Linked DNA regions of Mus musculus. The protein of the gene in region 2 binds, or shares a complex with, the protein of the main gene of each other region. Links are inferred from orthologs where the notes say so. Each region holds a gene or a part of one and is shown on either strand. Other genes may lie near its edges.

The links.
Region 1: the proteins of Zmynd8 (region 2) and Dbn1 are in contact, whole or in part, in a crystal structure (PDB 5Y1Z), measured with the Homo sapiens proteins. The link is inferred for Mus musculus from reciprocal best matches to the Homo sapiens genes ZMYND8 and DBN1. Residues at the interface, in NP_001350670.1 of Homo sapiens: Gln167, Pro168, Gly169, Thr170, Gln236, Ile237, Val240, Lys243, Ile244, His247, Trp269, Leu285, Gly287, Phe288, Phe307, Gly309, Gln310, His311, Asp312, Ala314, Thr335, Lys336, Ser337, Ile338; in NP_004386.3 of Homo sapiens: Met1, Ala2, Phe6, Ser7, Arg10, Leu11, Leu14, Tyr17, Glu18, Asp92, Ala93, Cys96, Ala97, Ala99, Ser100, Lys104, Glu107, Phe108, Gln110.

Annotation. Positions count from the first base shown.
Region 1 is NC_000079.6:55,470,842-55,479,107, reverse strand, and holds the end of Dbn1 (drebrin), read left to right. Parts: intron 1-1,271; coding exon 1,272-1,331; exon of another isoform or gene 1,332-1,427; coding exon 1,428-1,557; intron 1,558-2,334; coding exon 2,335-2,472; intron 2,473-2,791; coding exon 2,792-2,962; intron 2,963-3,571; coding exon 3,572-4,248; intron 4,249-4,546; coding exon of another isoform or gene 4,547-4,549; coding exon 4,550-4,652; intron 4,653-4,814; coding exon 4,815-4,885; 3' UTR 4,886-5,680; downstream 5,681-8,266. Other genes in the region: Prr7 (proline-rich protein 7), read right to left, coding at 6,118-6,515, 6,672-7,083. UniProt on the Homo sapiens protein: Actin cytoskeleton-organizing protein that plays a role in the formation of cell projections. Required for actin polymerization at immunological synapses (IS) and for the recruitment of the chemokine receptor CXCR4 to IS.
Region 2 is NC_000068.7:165,801,581-165,810,771, reverse strand, and holds part of Zmynd8 (protein kinase C-binding protein 1), read left to right. Parts: intron 1-2,842; coding exon 2,843-3,253; intron 3,254-5,394; coding exon 5,395-5,585; intron 5,586-9,191. UniProt on the Homo sapiens protein: Chromatin reader that recognizes dual histone modifications such as histone H3.1 dimethylated at 'Lys-36' and histone H4 acetylated at 'Lys-16' (H3.1K36me2-H4K16ac) and histone H3 methylated at 'Lys-4' and histone H4 acetylated at 'Lys-14' (H3K4me1-H3K14ac).

The DNA.
Region 1 (8,266 bases), on a different chromosome or scaffold from region 2:
GAAACGGGATGACGACTCTAGGCTGTGACTGGAGCATGTAGAGGACATTATGTCCACATCTAGCAGAGGATGTGGGCGAGTTGGAGCCAGGATAGATGGTGGGGTTGGAGACGTGAAGAAGACTAGATCAGACTGAGGAAGGGGAACGGAGCCAAGCAAGGGGCCTGCCCACCTACAGTCCTGGGCTTCAGTCTTAAAACATAAGCCAAGAAATGGCCAAATGGGAATTAGGGAGTGGGGGACTGCAGTGAACTGGGCTGTCACCACTGTGTAGGGAAACTAGGGGCTTGAGTGTGCAGCTCAGAGGCAGAGCGCTGTCCAGCAAGCCTCCACCCCAACTCCCAGGGTGGGACAGAGTCACACAGCCAGAGAGAGAGAGAGAGAGAGAGAGGAGAGACAGAGAGAGAATACAAACTAGATACTCTGAGGGGCTGTGAGAGATTCTGTCTCAAAAAAAAAAAAAAAAAAGAAAAAAAAAAAACCAAAACAAAAGCCAGGGGAGGTGGTAAAACCAAAAGTTCAAGGCCAGTCTAACAGTTTAATGAGACTCTGTCTCAAAATAAAACCATAAAAGGTGTAGTCACTGCTAAAGCATTCGCTTGGCTTCTTTGAGGACCTGGGTACGATGCCTCGGATGACAAAATAAGAAACCAGATTCTATTTTCAGTTCATCATGAAACTGAACTTCTTAGTGATAGCAGCTTAATTTATGTGGGTTTAAAACCTTGCTATTTGGGGCCTGAAGAGAGGGCTCAGCAGCAGTGAAGAGCACCGGTTTCTCTTCCAGAAGATCTGGGTTCAATCCCCAGCGCCCACATGTCCGGAGCCATCTGTGTCTCCAATTCTAGGGATACAACGCCCTCTTTTGGCCTCTGAGGGCACTGCATGCACCTGGTGAGCAGACATCCAGGCAGGCAGAACATCCACACACATAAAAATAATGTGTTTTGTTTTTGTTTTCTTTTTTTTAATGGCTTTAAAATATGGCATTGGAACAATACCTAGTCCATGGGCCATATTCAGTCCGTGCTTGGTGTGACTTAAGCTAGCTAAGGGACCAGGAATATTCTGAGTGATCCCAGATACCTGGTTAGATGGGACGTAGATGAATCAGCGGCTCAAGGCCTGGCTGGCCGGTCTGGGGATGAGGTGGCTGCAGACATTGAAAGAGGAGGCTGTGGACCTGAATTCTGAGAGGAACAAAGCGCCACCTTTGAGATTCTGCGGGGTTGGAAAGAACCACTCAGGACATTGTCCCTTTGGTTTTCCAGGGTGACCAGCGGGATGAAGAGGAAGAGTCCCAGATGAAGAAGTCGGAGTCAGAGGTGGAGGTGAGAGCGGGGGGAGTGGCAAGTGAGACGGATGGGCGGGGCTGGCTCAGACTGCTAGCCCCGCCCAGCTCTCTAACTCTTCCCTTGTGCCCTCAGGAGGCGGCTGCCATCATTGCCCAGCGGCCTGATAACCCACGGGAGTTCTTCAGACAGCAGGAACGAGTGGCATCGGCCTCTGGTGGCAGCTGTGACGCGCCTGCGCCTGCACCCTTCAACCACCGACCAGGTAGTCCTTGGCCCCCTCCTTGCCCAATCAGTACTCCTCAGACTATGGCCCTAATTCCCTCTGGGACTTCTTCTTGGAAAAGAAGCCTTGCCCAAGGAAGGACTCCTTGGAGAAGGCAAGACCCCCTTCAGTGTGCTTCCACCCCCAGCTTTCCAGGTGGTGGCACCCCCGGAGGGGCTGGGTTGGGGGGCACTGTCAATGTCCGGCATTGGCTGAGTATGGCTGGTACTCAAGGCCAGTTGGGAAGATTTGGTGAAGCTTCAGACACACTGCTGGTGTTGGGAGTTTCCCTGCAGGGTTGGACTAGGTCTGGCCCGAAGGCTTTGGATGCATGGAGGGTGGGATCTTGCTCTGTCCTGCAGTGTGAGCATCCTGGAGCAGTGGTTCTCTCGGCTCGCTTGTTTGGCTTCTCCTTGTGTAGCTTCTGCCTCCCCTTGGAAGCACCCTTTCATTTCTTGTCTGCCGGTGTGAGCATTTGCATCTTCTGTGTGCTTGGTCATGTTGCCGGGGTTCCAGGAGCATGGCAGACTAGACTCATTCGTGCTGCTACACAGAGGCTGGCTGTTGTGTGCCCATGTGTGTATCTGGTGCTGGTTGGTGGGAGGCATCAGATGGCTTGAGGCTGTGGCCCAGCTTGGCTGAATGTGCACCCTGGCTGAAGGTGGCTTGGACATCTAGGGCTGGCCCTGGGGGTGGGTGAGGCCTTGGGGCAGGGGTGGGGGAGACTGACCCTCTCTTGTCCTCTGTCTCTTTCTCTGTCTGTCTCTCTCTCGGCAGGTCGTCCGTACTGCCCTTTCATAAAGGCATCGGACAGTGGGCCTTCCTCCTCCTCCTCTTCCTCCTCTTCCCCTCCACGGACTCCCTTTCCCTATATCACCTGCCACCGCACCCCAAACCTCTCTTCCTCCCTCCCATGTAGGTAGCAGCCCCAGGCCTCGGCAGGGTGGGGTAAGGAGGGCCCCGCTTCCCAGCAGCCCCCTCGCCCTTTCTCCCCCAGCCTGACTGCCGACTGCTGGTGTTTGTCCCCAGAGCAGGTACTACCTGCCTCTTGTCCCTGGCCCTGTAGGGCACTGGCCCCCAGCGGCCTGGTTCACAGGGTCTGGAGCAGCAATCTGGCCCCTGGGGGGCCTGGGGAGCTCACAGCCCCCACCCACACTTGAGACACAAGGTGGATAGTCCTGATTCCACCTGGCTCCCACTTCCTCACTCACTAGCCTGGGCATTTGCTCCGCAGGCAGCCACCTGGACAGCCACCGGAGGATGGCACCCACTCCTATTCCCACCCGGAGCCCATCTGATTCCAGCACAGCCTCTACCCCCATCGCTGAGCAGATCGAGAGGGCCCTGGATGAGGTCACATCCTCGCAGCCTCCACCTCCACCTCCACCACCTCCACCAACTCAAGGTAAGAGAAGGGCCCCACCGGTACCTATCCTTCCATCAGTCTCTGGGTAGGGAACCCTAGGTTGCCACAGTAACATAGTTCAAAGAACTTGGACCAATCCTCACCAACACTACACTGCTAAGGAAGTGGCTATAGCAGAGGAGCGCCCTGGTGTTGCTCTTAGACAATGCCTTCTCTAACCCTCAGTGGCTCATCACTGAGGAATGTGGCCTTCCTCCTGGTGGTTTAAAAAAAGTTGGTGAGGGCTGGAGAGATGGCTCCGAGGTTAAGAGCACTGGTTGCTCTCCCTGAGGTCCTGAGTTCAATTCCCAGCATCCACATGGTGGCTCACAACCACCTATAATGAGATCTGGCACCCTCTTCTGACCTGGAGGCGTACACGTAGGCAGGATGCTGTATACATAATAAAAATGAATCTTTCAAAACATAAAAATGAAAAGAGTGGGTGAAAGGATAGGGAGGTACAGCTGTAGTAGAAGGTATCTCAAATTTACCCAGAAGTCTCAAACTCGTCACTCTTCAGTGGGTGGACATGGTACACTGGCCCAGGGCATCTATCCTTCCCCAAGGGGGCTGACTGTATTGTGTCCTTCATGTGCACTGCCACAGAGGCCCAGGAGACTACCCCAAGCCTGGATGAAGAGCTCAGCAAGGAGGCCAAAGTAACAGCAGCTCCTGAGGTCTGGGCTGGCTGTGCGGCAGAGCCCCCTCAGGCACAGGAACCTCCCCTGTTGCAAAGCAGCCCCCTGGAGGACTCGATGTGCACAGAATCTCCAGAGCAGGCTGCCCTGGCTGCCCCTGCGGAGCCTGCTGCCTCTGTCACCTCAGTAGCTGATGTCCATGCAGCTGACACCATTGAGACCACCACTGCCACTACTGACACCACTATTGCCAACAACGTCACCCCTGCCGCTGCCAGCCTCATTGATCTATGGCCTGGCAACGGGGAAGAGGCCTCAACACTTCAGGCTGAACCCAGGGTGCCCACACCACCCTCAGGTGCTGAGGCCTCCCTGGCAGAGGTGCCCCTGCTGAATGAGGCCGCTCAGGAGCCGCTGCCGCCGGTAGGCGAAGGCTGTGCTAACCTTCTTAATTTTGATGAGCTGCCAGAACCTCCAGCCACCTTCTGTGACCCAGAGGAGGAAGTAGGAGAAACGCTGGCTGCCTCCCAGGTCCTAACTATGCCCTCAGCTCTAGAGGAGGTAGATCAGGTGCTGGAGCAGGAGCTGGAGCCAGAACCTCACCTGCTGACCAATGGAGAGACCACTCAAAAGGAGGGGACCCAGGTGGGACAGGGGGAGCCTGGTGGGAGGGACAGTATTCAGTGCGGAGGGGGAGGGCGGATTGCTTGTAGATCCATATTGAGAAGCAGCTCTATGCCACGCCCCTTTCCATCTCTGCCATTCGTTCCCTGGCAGGCATCTGTGTTTCCCCAGCAACCAAGGATTCCAAGAGTGGTTGCTGGGGAAACAGGCTCAGGCCTGATAGATCAGCTGTTGTCCTGACAGTTGGGTCCTGGTGACCTAAGCTTTTATTAAACTAACTAAATAAACAAACAAAACAAAACCAAATAACAAACCCCAGCAGGCCAGCGAAGGATACTTCAGTCAGTCACAGGAGGAAGAGTTCGCCCAATCAGAAGAGCCATGTGCAAAGGTTCCGCCTCCTGTATTTTACAACAAGCCTCCAGGTAGTATCCCCGGGTGAATGATGGGAATTCTGGAATTCTGGGATGGGACTGGAGGGCTAGGGGTGTCACTAGAGTCGGTTGGCACAGCTCTTAGAGGTTGGGGGGCGGGTGGCACCACTGATGGATCTACCCAGCCTTCTCTCTTCTCTCAATATATCCTAGAAATCGACATCACCTGCTGGGATGCAGACCCAGTTCCTGAAGAGGAAGAGGGCTTCGAGGGTGGTGATTAGTAGCGGCGACTGCCCCCTGGCTGCCCTCGCCAAGGCTGCCTACCTGCAGTGGCCTCTGGCCAGCCGGCTTGCAGTGCCAGCATTAGCAGCAGCCCCGCCTGGCTCCCACTCTGGATTCCGGCACTGGCCGGGGACCTGTCTGCTTCCTTACCCACAGGGCCTGACTTTTACAGCTTTTCTCTTTTTTTTAAAAGTTGATAGACTTGTACAATTGACTGGTTTTCCTCCCGTTGGTAGTTGAAACAATGTTGCAGATTCCACCCCCTTCCTGCCCAGACCAGATTGTAGCTTAGTTCTTTCTGCTCAGCTGACCAGGGTGGAGGCCTCACCTTGTTTGGGACCTGGTGGGGGTCGGGGGTTCTGGTGGGAAAATGTTCCCCCCATCACTTTTCCTAGTTTTATGTTTCTTGGAAAAAAAATCACTTTGTATTCTCTATCCAGGGCTTCAGATATTTTGCACGAAATTTAAAACATGGCAATAAATGGCTCGTGGGCTCTGGCTCCCTGGGACCCTTCCCCTTCTCTTTACCCTCGCTGCTTGGTCAGAAGGAATTATCAGACCCACCTGGGGCCCCTTGGCTTCCCGCCCTCTCCTGCCGGGCAGGTCCCAGGCTGGAGGTCCTAGGCATGACTCAAGTCAGGGCTTATTGATGGGACCCAGTGGTTTGGGTGGCCCCTCCCCAATTCTTTCCTCTCTGCTTGGGTTCTTTTTCACATTAACTTTTTTTTTTTTTCTAAGCACAAACTTATGTAATGGGTCGTGCTCATGTCTGTTAATAAAGAAATCCAGATCCCTTCGGGCCTGCTGCTCTGGGCCTCCAGGGGTTGATCTGGCGTGGGCGCCGGCCCTCACGACCAGCTTCCCAACTCCTGTCACCTCCGAGGCTACAGGGGGCGCACAAAAACAGGTTAGGAGGAGACGGAACATTAAGCCCTTGAGAAACAACCTTTGGTTTCCGAACACCAGCCCTCTGCTCTCAAGGCCAGTACTCGGGCACTTTCCCTAAAGTCCACATGCCCGGTCACTAGCACCTTGTGCTTAAAGCAGCTGGTATCCCCCTCCGCTTGTACCAAAGCAGATCACACACCTTTATTATCCTCAAAATGTAACAAACAGGGTAAGAAATCCCTCCCTCCCCCCCACCCCTCCCTGCAGTCCAAGGGAAGCATTTAAAAAGCCTCGCAGTCAGGCTAGGAGTTCGCCCGTGGGGCTCGGGACGCCGGGCGCCCCTCTATACGGCTGTAGTCCTCCCGAACAAGGGGATGGAGACCGGCAGACGCCAAGCTCCGTGCTCCAGGGGCTCTCGGCTGCTGAGCTCTGAGTCGGTCCAGCTGGGGAAAACCCGGCGGCTGCGTTCCGCCTGCAGACAGAGGGCAGGGCAGGGTGCGGCGGGCCGCGGGGCGCTGGGAAGATGCAGCGCCGAAGTATAGCCCCGGTCCAGGAAGAGAGGCTTGTAACTCGGAGGCGGCTGCTCCTGCTTCTCCGCGCTGTCGCGGCGGCTCAGAAAGGGCGTGACGATCTTGCGGTAGAGGCCGCGAGTGTCCGTGAGCACCTCGCTGTAGGGAGGCGGCGGCTCGGCCATCAGCACCGCCTCCTCGTAGCACGGCGGCTTAGACATGTCCGATTCCGCTGCGGAACGGGAAGCGGGCTGGTGAGGATGAAGCCGCCGGCCCGGGGCAGAAGCCTCGCCCAGCCACCACCACCCCAGCCCGCTTCTCCCGGTGCTAAGGGTGGGGCGCCTCCGGCATGGGCAGGGAGCGCTCGCCTGCCGAAACGCAGCCTTACCTTGGCGCGGATAGCTCCAGGGCCGGGGCGGCACGGCGAGGTGCGGCGGCGGTGGGTGCGGCAGTGCGTGATGGTGTGGGTGCGGGTGCGCGTGCGGCGGCGCCGGCCCGTGGTGCAGCAGCGGGTGCACGTGCACGTGCGAGTGCGCGTGCACAGGCGCCTCCAGACGGCTGCGGTGCGGTGGCGGCGGCGGCGCCAGGCCGGGAGGACTTCCAGCCAGGCTGCCCTCAAGCTCGAGGGGCTCCAGCTCCAGGGCACGCAAGTTCTGCTCCCTTAGTCGCTCCTCCTGGCGCCGTTTGAGGCGGCGGCGCAGGAAGCTGCAGAAGCAGCAGAGCAGGACGATGAGACCCCAGATGAGCCAGAAGCCGGCGAAGCAAGTGAGGAACGTGTAGGTGCCCTGGGACATCACCATGGCTGCGGCACAAGCGGCAGGTCCTCGGCGGCTCTACTGGACGCTGGGCTCCTCGGCGTGGCCCCGGGGCCGCGCCACGCTCCCAGGTGCCGCCAGTGTCACTCGGGGACCTGCGGCCGGGGGCTGCCTGCGGCGGGGCTCAATAGGCGCACATGCCGGCGAGGGGCAACTGTGGTTCCCGCTCCTTCCCATGGCGCCGGCCGGCGCGGGCCTGCTTCACCCGGGGCCGCGAGCGACCTGCGGGGCAGACACAGGGCTCAGCGAGGCTCGCCAGGGTCCTTGGTGACTCCCGGCCTGCATCCGCGTCCCGCGCAGGGCCGGGGATGCCTCCTCGGTGGGAACCCCCGCACTCCCCGGGGGCCGGGTGACGTCACCCAGGGATGACGTCACGCCCCGAGGTTTCCCCGATAGGGTTTCCCCCGAATCGGGACCCGGCGACCGCGTGCTGACGCGACCCAAGAGAGGCCAGTAGGGGGCGCGCGGAGTCCGCCCGCGACCCCAGGGTCCAGCTTCGAGGTGGTTTCGGAAGCTGTGACTGCCAGGACGCTGGAGTAGTCTTGGCGCGGTGTTTTGGGGGCGAGGGAAAGGGCAGTGCACCTCCAGGAGGCCCACCAGCAGTCCGCTTGGAGCCCAGTTTCTGCCCTGCACTGCTTCCAACTATTAGCCACGCCTGAAAGAGATTGGCGAGTGGCTGCCACTGCATGCCACCAGCCCGGTCTTTGTCTGTTCCCAACACCGTGTGCTGGGCGTGGGCCAGGCCGGCTTTCCTTCCTCTAGGCGCCTCTGCCAGCCGGATTCTAGCCCCAACTCGACTTCCCACACCACCTACTCATGCGCAAACCCCACTTGGCTGCACCTCTCTTACTTCCAACCCAACCCCCTTCCTTCCACTAATCCCTTTCCCTCTTTGTAAAGTGGGGTAGAAAATTAGATTTGTCTTTCAGACCCACCTAGCCCTACAGTCAGGACAAACCCTGGTCTCTGGGTCCACCTCCTATCACAGCAGGGGGCGACATCTCTGCATGGGTGGGGGGCTACAGGGGTTGGTGGGAGAGAAGTCTGGAGCCCTGACTGCTTAATTAAGGCCAAGCAACAGACGGGTCACCATCCCCACAGAACAGAGATGGGCCTTTCTCGAATACCTTCTACCAGCAACTTACACAACCCTGTGGGTAACAGTGTC
Region 2 (9,191 bases):
TAACCCCAGCATTTGGAGGTAGAGGAGTAGAGAATTCAAGGCCAGCTTCGGCTACATCAGACCCTGTCTCAAACAAAACAGACCAAGCAAAGCGTGCCCTCCCAACTTCGGGGGATCGTGAGCAGGAGCTTTCACTTTGGTCGTGAGCTTCCTATCAGTGAGAGCAGAAAGATCCACGGAAATTGGAGGTTATGATTTTAAGAAGTGTTAGCATTCTGGCAGAGCTGTTTCTGGATGTGATGTCTGAAGGAAACAGCCAGGATCTCCCGCAAACCCCGAGTTGGTGGTAGGTTGAGTGAAAGATGATTCTAGAACTAAACACAATCAGAGAGCAATTTCCCAAGGTCTGAGGCAAAACTTACTTCTGTAAACCGGTGTCCCTGTGAAGCTCCTTGGTGGTGGGTGGATGGTCTTTCTCCGAGGTGGCTAGGCGATGCTCCTAGCTTCTCTACAGCCATGCTCCCTCTGGTCCATCCTGAAGTGAAGAGGGTTGTGGAGTGCAGCTACCCAGCTCAGGAGCAGATGTAGACAAAGCCTTATGACTGCCCTTCACTGTGGGTGTTCCCATGGAGGGGGGGGCTGTTTGTTAGGTTTTACAAATGCAAAGTTCTGCAGGCCAGTTTAGCAATTTACTGGGGCTGGTAGGTAATCTGCATTTCTTTAGAGTGATTGGTTACACCCTCAGAGTTTTCTAAGACAATTGAACTGCCCAGAGCTTTCTACTCACCCCGCCCCAAACCCCAGAATTCTCCCCATTGAAGAAATCAGCGAAGAAATTTCTGGAATTCACCCTACTGAAGAAATTTCCATATTCTTGTGGTTAACAAGCCCTACCTGGCACAACTGGAGAGCTTGTTTCTGATACTGTTGTCTATTGGAAAAAGATCTACAGCCGGGCAGTGGTGGCGCACGCCTTTAATCCCAGCACTTGGGAGGCAGAGGCAGGCGGATTTCTGAGTTCGAGGCCAGCCTGGTCTACAGAGTAAGTTCCAGGACAGCCAGGGCTACACAGAGAAACCCTGTCTCAAAAAAACAAAAACAACAAAAAAATCACCAACAAGTAGGCATACCTCACAAAGCTAGTAAGGAGAGTAGAGCGGAACCGACCTTTTTTTCGAGACAGGGTTTCTCTGTGTAGCCCTGGCTGTCCTGGAACTCACTTTGTAGACCAGGCTGGCCTCAAACTCAGAAATCCTCCTGCCTCTGCCTCCCAAGTGCTGGGATTAAAGGCATGCACCACCACTGCCCGGCGGGAACTGACCTTCTTGAGGCCCTGATGACATTTGTGTCACCGGCAGCAGCACAAGCCACCCTGCAGCTGCTTCCTGTTAGAACCCTGCTAGGCACATCTGCCTAGCATGGACAAGTTCAGAGTTGCTTCTATACCCAGGGCAGCCAGGGTCTGATGTATGTCAGTCAGGCCAGCCAAGGGACTAGCCAGCCCCGCTTCCCTGTAGCTCTCTCACTCTGGAGCTCTAGTCTTCAGAGGAGCGAGGTGCTCACTAAGCTGTAGACCTTCGCCTCAGAGGAGATGGCAACTCTTCTCTTCATTCTCCTTGGCTTCTTGTAACCCGAAGCTTGCTCAAGATCTGGAATTTCCAGGTGTTTCTCTGGGTGATCTGGATCTAAGAGGATACCAAGGAATGTGGCCATTGGTGGCAAAGCCACCCCCCCCCCACCATGTTTGGTGTGTGTTTTCTAAGTACCCTGAATGGGGTATAGTACAAGCTGGCACCTCTGCAGCTGCTACCATCTTCCCTTTTTCATTTTATTTTTTAAAGATTTATTTAATCTAAGTACACTAATGCACCAGAAGAGGGCATCAGATCTCATGATCTGATCATGATGATGGTTGTGAGCCACCACGTGTTTGCTGGGATTTGAACTCGGGACCTTCGGAAGAACAGTCAGTGTGCTCTTAAGTACTGAGCCATCTCTCCAGGCTCCCCCCACACCCCCAATCTCCTCTTTATAAGTAAGTTCAGTATACTGTGCAGCTTCTCCACTGACTTCCCGTCCCGCCCACAGCCCTCCAAACTTAAGCCCAGGTCATTGCAGTCGAATAGTGCCCCTGAGCTACATCCCCAGCCCCCAACTTAACGCTTTTAAGAAAACTTTAAAAAGCCAGGTATGGTGGCGCATGCCTTTAATCCCAGCACATGGGAGGCAGAGGCAGGCGGATCTCTGAGTTCAAGGCCAGCCTGGTCTACAGAGCAAGTTCCAGGACAGCCAGGGCTACACAGAGAAAGCCTGTCTAGGGAAAAAGGGGGCTTAGACTTGACCATTGTAGGATAGGAAATTCAGCATTGTTTGCTATCCATGAAGGGCTGCGCAGACACATCCAGAATGCAGGCTAGGCTGGGCCGAAGGTGTTAACAGAAGGTTCTCTGGCCTGGGGCTGAATTCCTTTGTTAAATGTCTAGGTCGCCCCTCCCAGTGGCTTTGTCAAAGGGGAAAGTAGATTTGGTGTGCACACCTTTTGACAGCCAGTTGCTTTTGCCAAGAGCTCCTCCTGGGGAAGAAGGGCTGCAGTTAGGCAGTCTCCATTACCCACAGCCTGGGCCACTAGTTAATTACTGCTCAGCATGGGGGCTGGGTCTTGCTCTCTTCTTCCCCCAGAAGGCTTGTGACTTCTCCATCTGGGATATTAGTTTGTGCTCAGTAAGGCATAATTCATAGCTGTTGCAGAGACCATGCTTGTCCTTGGGGCTCCAGGGGCCCTCTAAATTCCTTCAGGCAGTCTGCCTCTGCTGGGTTTGACCTAGAACTTGGCCTGCCATGTGAAGTCCCAGCTCAGGAAGCCAATCCAGTTTCTGCTTGTTTCCACCCTGCCTGGCTGTAGCTATAGGTAAACCGCCACCGTCGTCCACTTCGGCGGGCAACCAGTCTCCCCCAGAGACACCGGTACTCACCCGCTCAGCCACCCAAGCACCCGCGGCTGGGGTCACCGTGGCCGCCGCCACCACCAGCACGATGTCTACCGTCACAGTCACGGCACCGGCCACCGCCGTCACGGGAAGCCCGGTGAAGAAGCAGAGGCCGCTCTTACCGAAGGAGACTGTCCCAGCTGTGCAGCGGGTCGTGTGGAACGCATCAAGTAAGTTTCAAACGTCCTCCCAAAAGTGGCACATGCAGAAGATACAGCGCCAGCAGCAGCAGCAGCAACAACAACAGCAGAGCCAACAGCAGAGCCAGCAGCAGCAGCCTCAGTCTTCCCAGGGGACGAGATATCAGACCAGACAGGCTGTGAAAGGTACCGCGCCCCCTTCTGTTCTCTGTGGCGCCCACCCCCTTTTTGCCACACTAACAGGAGAAAGGCCACCCTTGTTGAATTTTTCCCCTACATCCCTATGTGTCATGGTCACCGCAGGCCTTATCATCCCATATGGAATTATTTTTTTAAAAACTGGCTTGCTAGCACTATTTGCCTGATTTTTTTTTTTAAAGATTTTTTTTTATTCTGTTTTATAAGTGATACGTGTTTCCTCTTTACAGAGGGGACAGGATATGTGTGTAGAATTCAGAATGCTCAATGTGGGCCCATTCGCTGTCCCTGTCATTGTCCACCCTTCTGTGACAATCATTTGTTGTCCTTATGCCTCTCCCAGTGCATGCCTATACGTTTGTTTTTATACCATATAATATTATACCATAAAATATTGTCTTTTTTCTTTCTTTCTTTCTTTTTTTTTAAAGCAAAAATGGTACCATTCTTGATTTTTTTTTTCCCCCTTCCCTCCCACCCATCAGCATGTTTTAGAGGTCTGTCTGTGTCTTATCCTTTTGGACTGCTGCATAGTATTCCCTAGTTCATTTAAGGTGTTCACCTGCTGGTGGGCATTGAGGATGCTTTTAGTTTTTCCCATTGTAAGATATGCTGCAATGACTATGTCTTGTGAGCATCTGGGAATCTCCAGGCGTTTTGTGGGAAAGTCTTTAGAGTGTGAGGAATCGGTAGGGGGGACAGTTTCCTTCCAAACCCCTGCCAAGGTGAGCCGGCCTCTGAGAACTCAGTGCTGGAGGCCAGTCTCTGTCCTGCAGCTGATGGCTCCGCTCAATTGTCTGAACCCAGCTTCAGGAGCACTAATGTGGGTCTGGTTTCTTGGGGCAAAGGAGCTTCCTTCACACTCGCTCTGTCCTTCCCCCATGCTCCCAGAGCTCATCCCAGTGAGGTAACAGGTCAGTCACAGGGACACTTTCAGGGACTCAAGGCCAGGTGGCTGGAGAAGGCCTGAAAAGCTGGACAGGTCTAGAGTGAGCTCTCAAGTACTGCAGTGGACATGGGATTAGGGCAACCCCTTGTTGGATTCTGTTTCTATCTAAGGCTGTCTCCTGCAGATAGGGTAGGTGGCTGCAATGCCAGGACCTGGTGGCAGTAGGGTCCTCAGCTTCCAGATAGTCCTGTGTCAGGTTGTAAGGCTTATTGCAACTGGGAAGGGCCAGTTTTAATCAGTAAAGCAGCGGAGACAGACTTGACGCAGTGGTTACTCCCTCAACACGCCTTATATATAGCCTGCTGGGTCAGACTTTGATCAGCAGAGGCTCCTGTAACCACCAGTGATTAAAATGGCCAAGTAGTGGCTTTACTCTCTTCATACCACATTGCCTTTTTAGCCGCTGTGGCAAGGACTGACTTCAATGAGCGTGGTACTGTTTTGCCACCAATTAAAACGAAAGGCGTTGATTTTAATGAGCGCTGTGCTGACGGATCGGTAAAGTTATTGGGTCACGGGTATAGTTGCGTAGAATGCTCACCCAGCATGCACAGAGCTCCGGGTTAAGTTCCCAACACTGCAAACACCAAAGATGTCAAGGGCTGAGATTTTAATGAGTGACAGACTCTTACTCCCTTCAGGCAGGAAGTGATTTTAATTAGTAGGACACTGGGTCTGTCATACCTGAGGAAGGGGTCCAGGGTGACTGGTGCAGGGGTGGCTGGCACTTTCAAAGGTAGAAAGGGCTCAGGCCTTGTAATGAAAGCCAGAGGGTCTGTTTGTGAAGCTGTCCGGGTTTGCCAATGAATGGCCAAAGTTCTTACCTTCTCATAGAGATGGAAAGACAGAGGTTTCACGTCTTCAGATGTTGGCTGCATCCAGCTGTTAAGTCCTTCTGGTAGCCTGGTGCTTCAAGGCTCGATTAAGTCCCCTAAACTGAACAGCCTTGAGTTAGCTCCTGAAGATGATTGCTTAGGTCTTTGTAGTGCAAGGTTGGCGCCTAGTGGAGAAGAGAGCTCAGAGGAGCCAGGCTCGAGCTTGGGCAAGGTGAGACACTGGCATTCGTAGTTCAAACGCTGGCTAGGGGAAGCTATAAGAAGACTTCCCTCCCTCGCCCCGGCTGTTTGCTGGGATGTGCTTTTCTGTATGGGTGGAGTGACCCGACCCTTTGCTTTCTTAGCTGTCCAGCAGAAGGAGGTCACCCAGAGCCCATCCACGTCCACCATCACGCTGGTGACCAGCACACAGCCGGCAGCCCTGGTCAGCAGTTCGGGCTCAGCAAGCACCCTGGCGTCTGCAATCAATGCCGACCTTCCCATTGCCACCGCCTCGGCCGACGTGGCCGCAGACATTGCCAAGTACACCAGCAAAGTAAGTGGGTTGGTGCTGCGGCTGGGGTGGGGTTGTTGGGGCCCTGGCTTGGTAGTTTGTAAAAAAGGCTAAGTTGCAGGCTTTAACAAAGGGTCTCCAAGGACAATTTACATTTGAGTCTTGAGTTAGATAGTTTCATCTATCATGGCTAAACCAGGGTTTGGGATACTGCTACACAAGTGCTGTAACCCTGCATTGTGTCTCCAGCGCCATTCTGTTTTATTTTGAGGCAGGGTCTGCCTCTGGAGTCTAGGCTGGCCTTGAAGAGCTCCTAAGTATCTGAGATTGCAGGTGTGTGGCTACCATCCCCCACCTGGCTTGGCTGTCTTGGAACTTGGCTCTGTAGACTAGAGCTGGCTTTGAACTCACAGAGATCCGCCCCCCTCTGCCTCCTGAGCGAGGGGACTAAAGGCCTGTGCCACTGCCACCCAGCAGGTTAGTTAATAGAAAACTGTGGACTGGTGGTGCGCCGATTTCTCTTGGGGAGGTGAACACTGGTCTGTTTGGCTTGCCCAGAGAAGGGACGCTGAACCAGAGTGAGAGACTCCATTGTCACACCAGCACGATGACATGCCAGGGACTTAAGAGGGGCTCCTGGGTCCCCTCCTTAAGTCATCCACTCTCTCGGGCTCAGGGTTCAGTCCCTGCTGGTGGCCTGGCATGTAGGATGGCCTGCTATGTGTAAACTTGGCAGACTCTCTCAGTTGGGCAAGTCCTTGAATGAGCGCGGTTGACTAAAACACGCACCTTGGTGTTGTGGAGGCCGCTGCTGTGTCCTGAGGGTGGTAGTCGGTGGTAGTCGAGGTATGGTGGTGACCCCTGGGGCTCCTTTGGCTGTTGGCTTGTCCCTAAGGATGGGGCTGATGCCTGGGTAGTAGGTGCTTGGTGCTGGGTGGAGGTACTGAGTCCATCACTGTGAGCTTTGCGTGGGTCAGCTAGTCGCCTGCTTATCGGGTTTATCACTGCCAGTAATTTAATAGCTAATGAGAAACACTTTCCTATTTAGTAAATGGTTGTGTGAACAAGAGCAATTTGTCTTTTACTAATGAGCCAATCAGGAGTGTTTACTCATTAGAGACCAGCAGTTCAAGCTATGAGGGTGCAGGCGAGAGAGGGGTGAAGAAGAGGGTTGCTCTGCTCTGTTTTCTTTCTTTCTTTCTTTCTTTCTTTCTTTCTTTCTTTCTTTCTTTCTTTCTCTCTCTCTCTTTCTCTCTCTCTCTTTCTCTCTCTCTCTCTCTCTCTCTCTCTCCCTTCCTTCCTTCCTTCCTTCCTTCCTTCCTTCCTTCCTCTCTCTCTCTCTCTCTCTCTCTCTCTCTCTCTCCCCTCCCCCCTACCCCCCCTCCCCCCTGCCCCCTCCCCTTCTCCCCTTTTCTTTTTTGGTTTACTTAACTCTGTGTCAAAAAGTGCTGTGTACCTGAGCCTGGTCTTTAATCCTCCCGCCCTGGCCTCTCCTGAGTGCTGGGTTATAGGTGTGAGTCATTCCGCCCAGCTTTGGAATTTCCTCTTTATTTTTTATTTTTATTATTATTTTTTTTTGTTTGTTTGTTTGTTTTTTTGAGACAGGGTTTCTCTGTTTAGCCCTGGCTATCCTGGAACTCACTTTGTAGACCAGGCTGGCCTCGAACTCAGAAATCCACCTGCCTCTGCCTCCCAAGTGCTGGGATTAAAGGCATGCGCCACCATGCCCGGCACTCTTTATTTTTATATGTATGGGTAATATGGGTATTTTTCCTGCATGCAGGGTCAGTGTTAGTGTCTGGGTCAGGGTGCAGGTTAGACAGAGTTAGGATCAGGGTTGGGGTTAGATGGAGATGGGGTCAATGTTGGGGTTAGACAGGGTTGGGCTTAGACAAAGTTGGGGTTAGACAGAGTCGGGGTCAGGGTCCAGCATATCATACCATATGACAGAGACAGATCTGTAATTTGAGTTATGGATGGTTGTGAGCCACTGTGCCAGTGCACAGGACTGAACCCAGGACCTCTGGAAAAGCAGCTAGTGCTCTAACCACTGAGCCATTTCTTAGCCCTCCTGATTGGAATCAATACCTTTTTTTAAACTAAAAATTTTCTTTTAATTTACTTTTTTTTTAAACTTATTTATTCATTTTATGTATGTGAGTACACTGTAGCTGTACAGATGGTTGTGAGCCTTCATGTGGTTGCTGAGAATTGAATTTTTAGGACTTCTGCTCTCCGCCGTCAGCCCCGCTTGTTCTGGCCCAAATCTTTATTTATTATTATACATAAGTACACTGTAGCTGTCATCTGACACACTAGAAGAGAATGCCAGATCTCATTTCGGGTGGTTGTGAGCCACCATGTGGTTGCTGGGATTTGAACTCAGGACCTTTGGAAGAGCAACCAGTGCTCTTACCCGCTGAGCCATCTCGCCAGCCCCTAATTTACTTTTATTTCATGTGCATTAGTGTTTTGCCTGTATGTATAAGGGTGAGGGAATCTCTAAAACTGGAGTTATAGTGAGTTGCCATGTGGGTGCTGGGAATGGAACCCAGGTCCTTTAGAAGAAGGGACTGTAGGGCCAGGGGAGATGGCTCACAGGATGAAGTACTTGCTATGCAAGCATAAGATCTGGCTCATGACCCTGTCTCTAAGCCTGGCACCCTAGACCAGAGGTGGAATCCCTGAACAAGCTGGCTCAGCCGGATGTGAATTCAGTTGGAAGAGAGATGCTGGCCTCAGTGGAGAAGCTGGAGAGGGACTGAGGAAGTGAAGCCTTGGCATCCACAAATGTACACACAGTCACACAAGCACACACAGTCACACAAGCACACACAGTCACACAAGCACACACAGTCGCACATGCACACACAATCACACATGCACACACAGTCACACAAGCACACACAGTCACACATGCACACACAGTCACACAAGCACACACAGTCGCATAAGCACACACAGTCACACAGGCACACACAGTCACACAAGCACACACAGTCACACATGCACACACAGTCAGACAAGCACACATAGTTGCACATGCACACACAGTCACACAAGCACACACAGTCACCAAGCACACACAGTCACACAAGAACACACAGTCGCACATGCACACACAGTCACACATGCACACAACAGTCACACATGCACACACAGTCACACATGCACACAACAGTCACCAAGCACACACAGTCACACAAGCACACACAGTCACACATGCACACAACACACATGCTCGTGGGGGCAGGGAGATGGCACTGCAGGTAAAGATGAGAGTTGGAAAAGGGGAGATTGTGGTGAAGGTGTCAGAGCCCGTAGCTCTGGACTCGAAACTGCCCGCCCCCTCCATCTCCACCCTCCCCTGATTGGACTGAGCTGTTTATCTACAGAAGGGGAGGCAATTTATACACAAATGGGCAAACTGAGGTCTGCAGAGTGAATCTGCCACAGCTCCTGAGACCCTTTAAATCCCGTCACTCCACAGTGCCCTCCTAACAGCCAAAATGAAGAATGGCCTCTTGGAGACATTTTCTTTCCCGTTGAAAAACTGAACACGGTGACATTTGAGGGAGCTGATGAACCAGCCTGTCTCTGAGGTGACTTTGTGTGTTTGGGAAACACAGGAGAGAGCCAATGGCCACG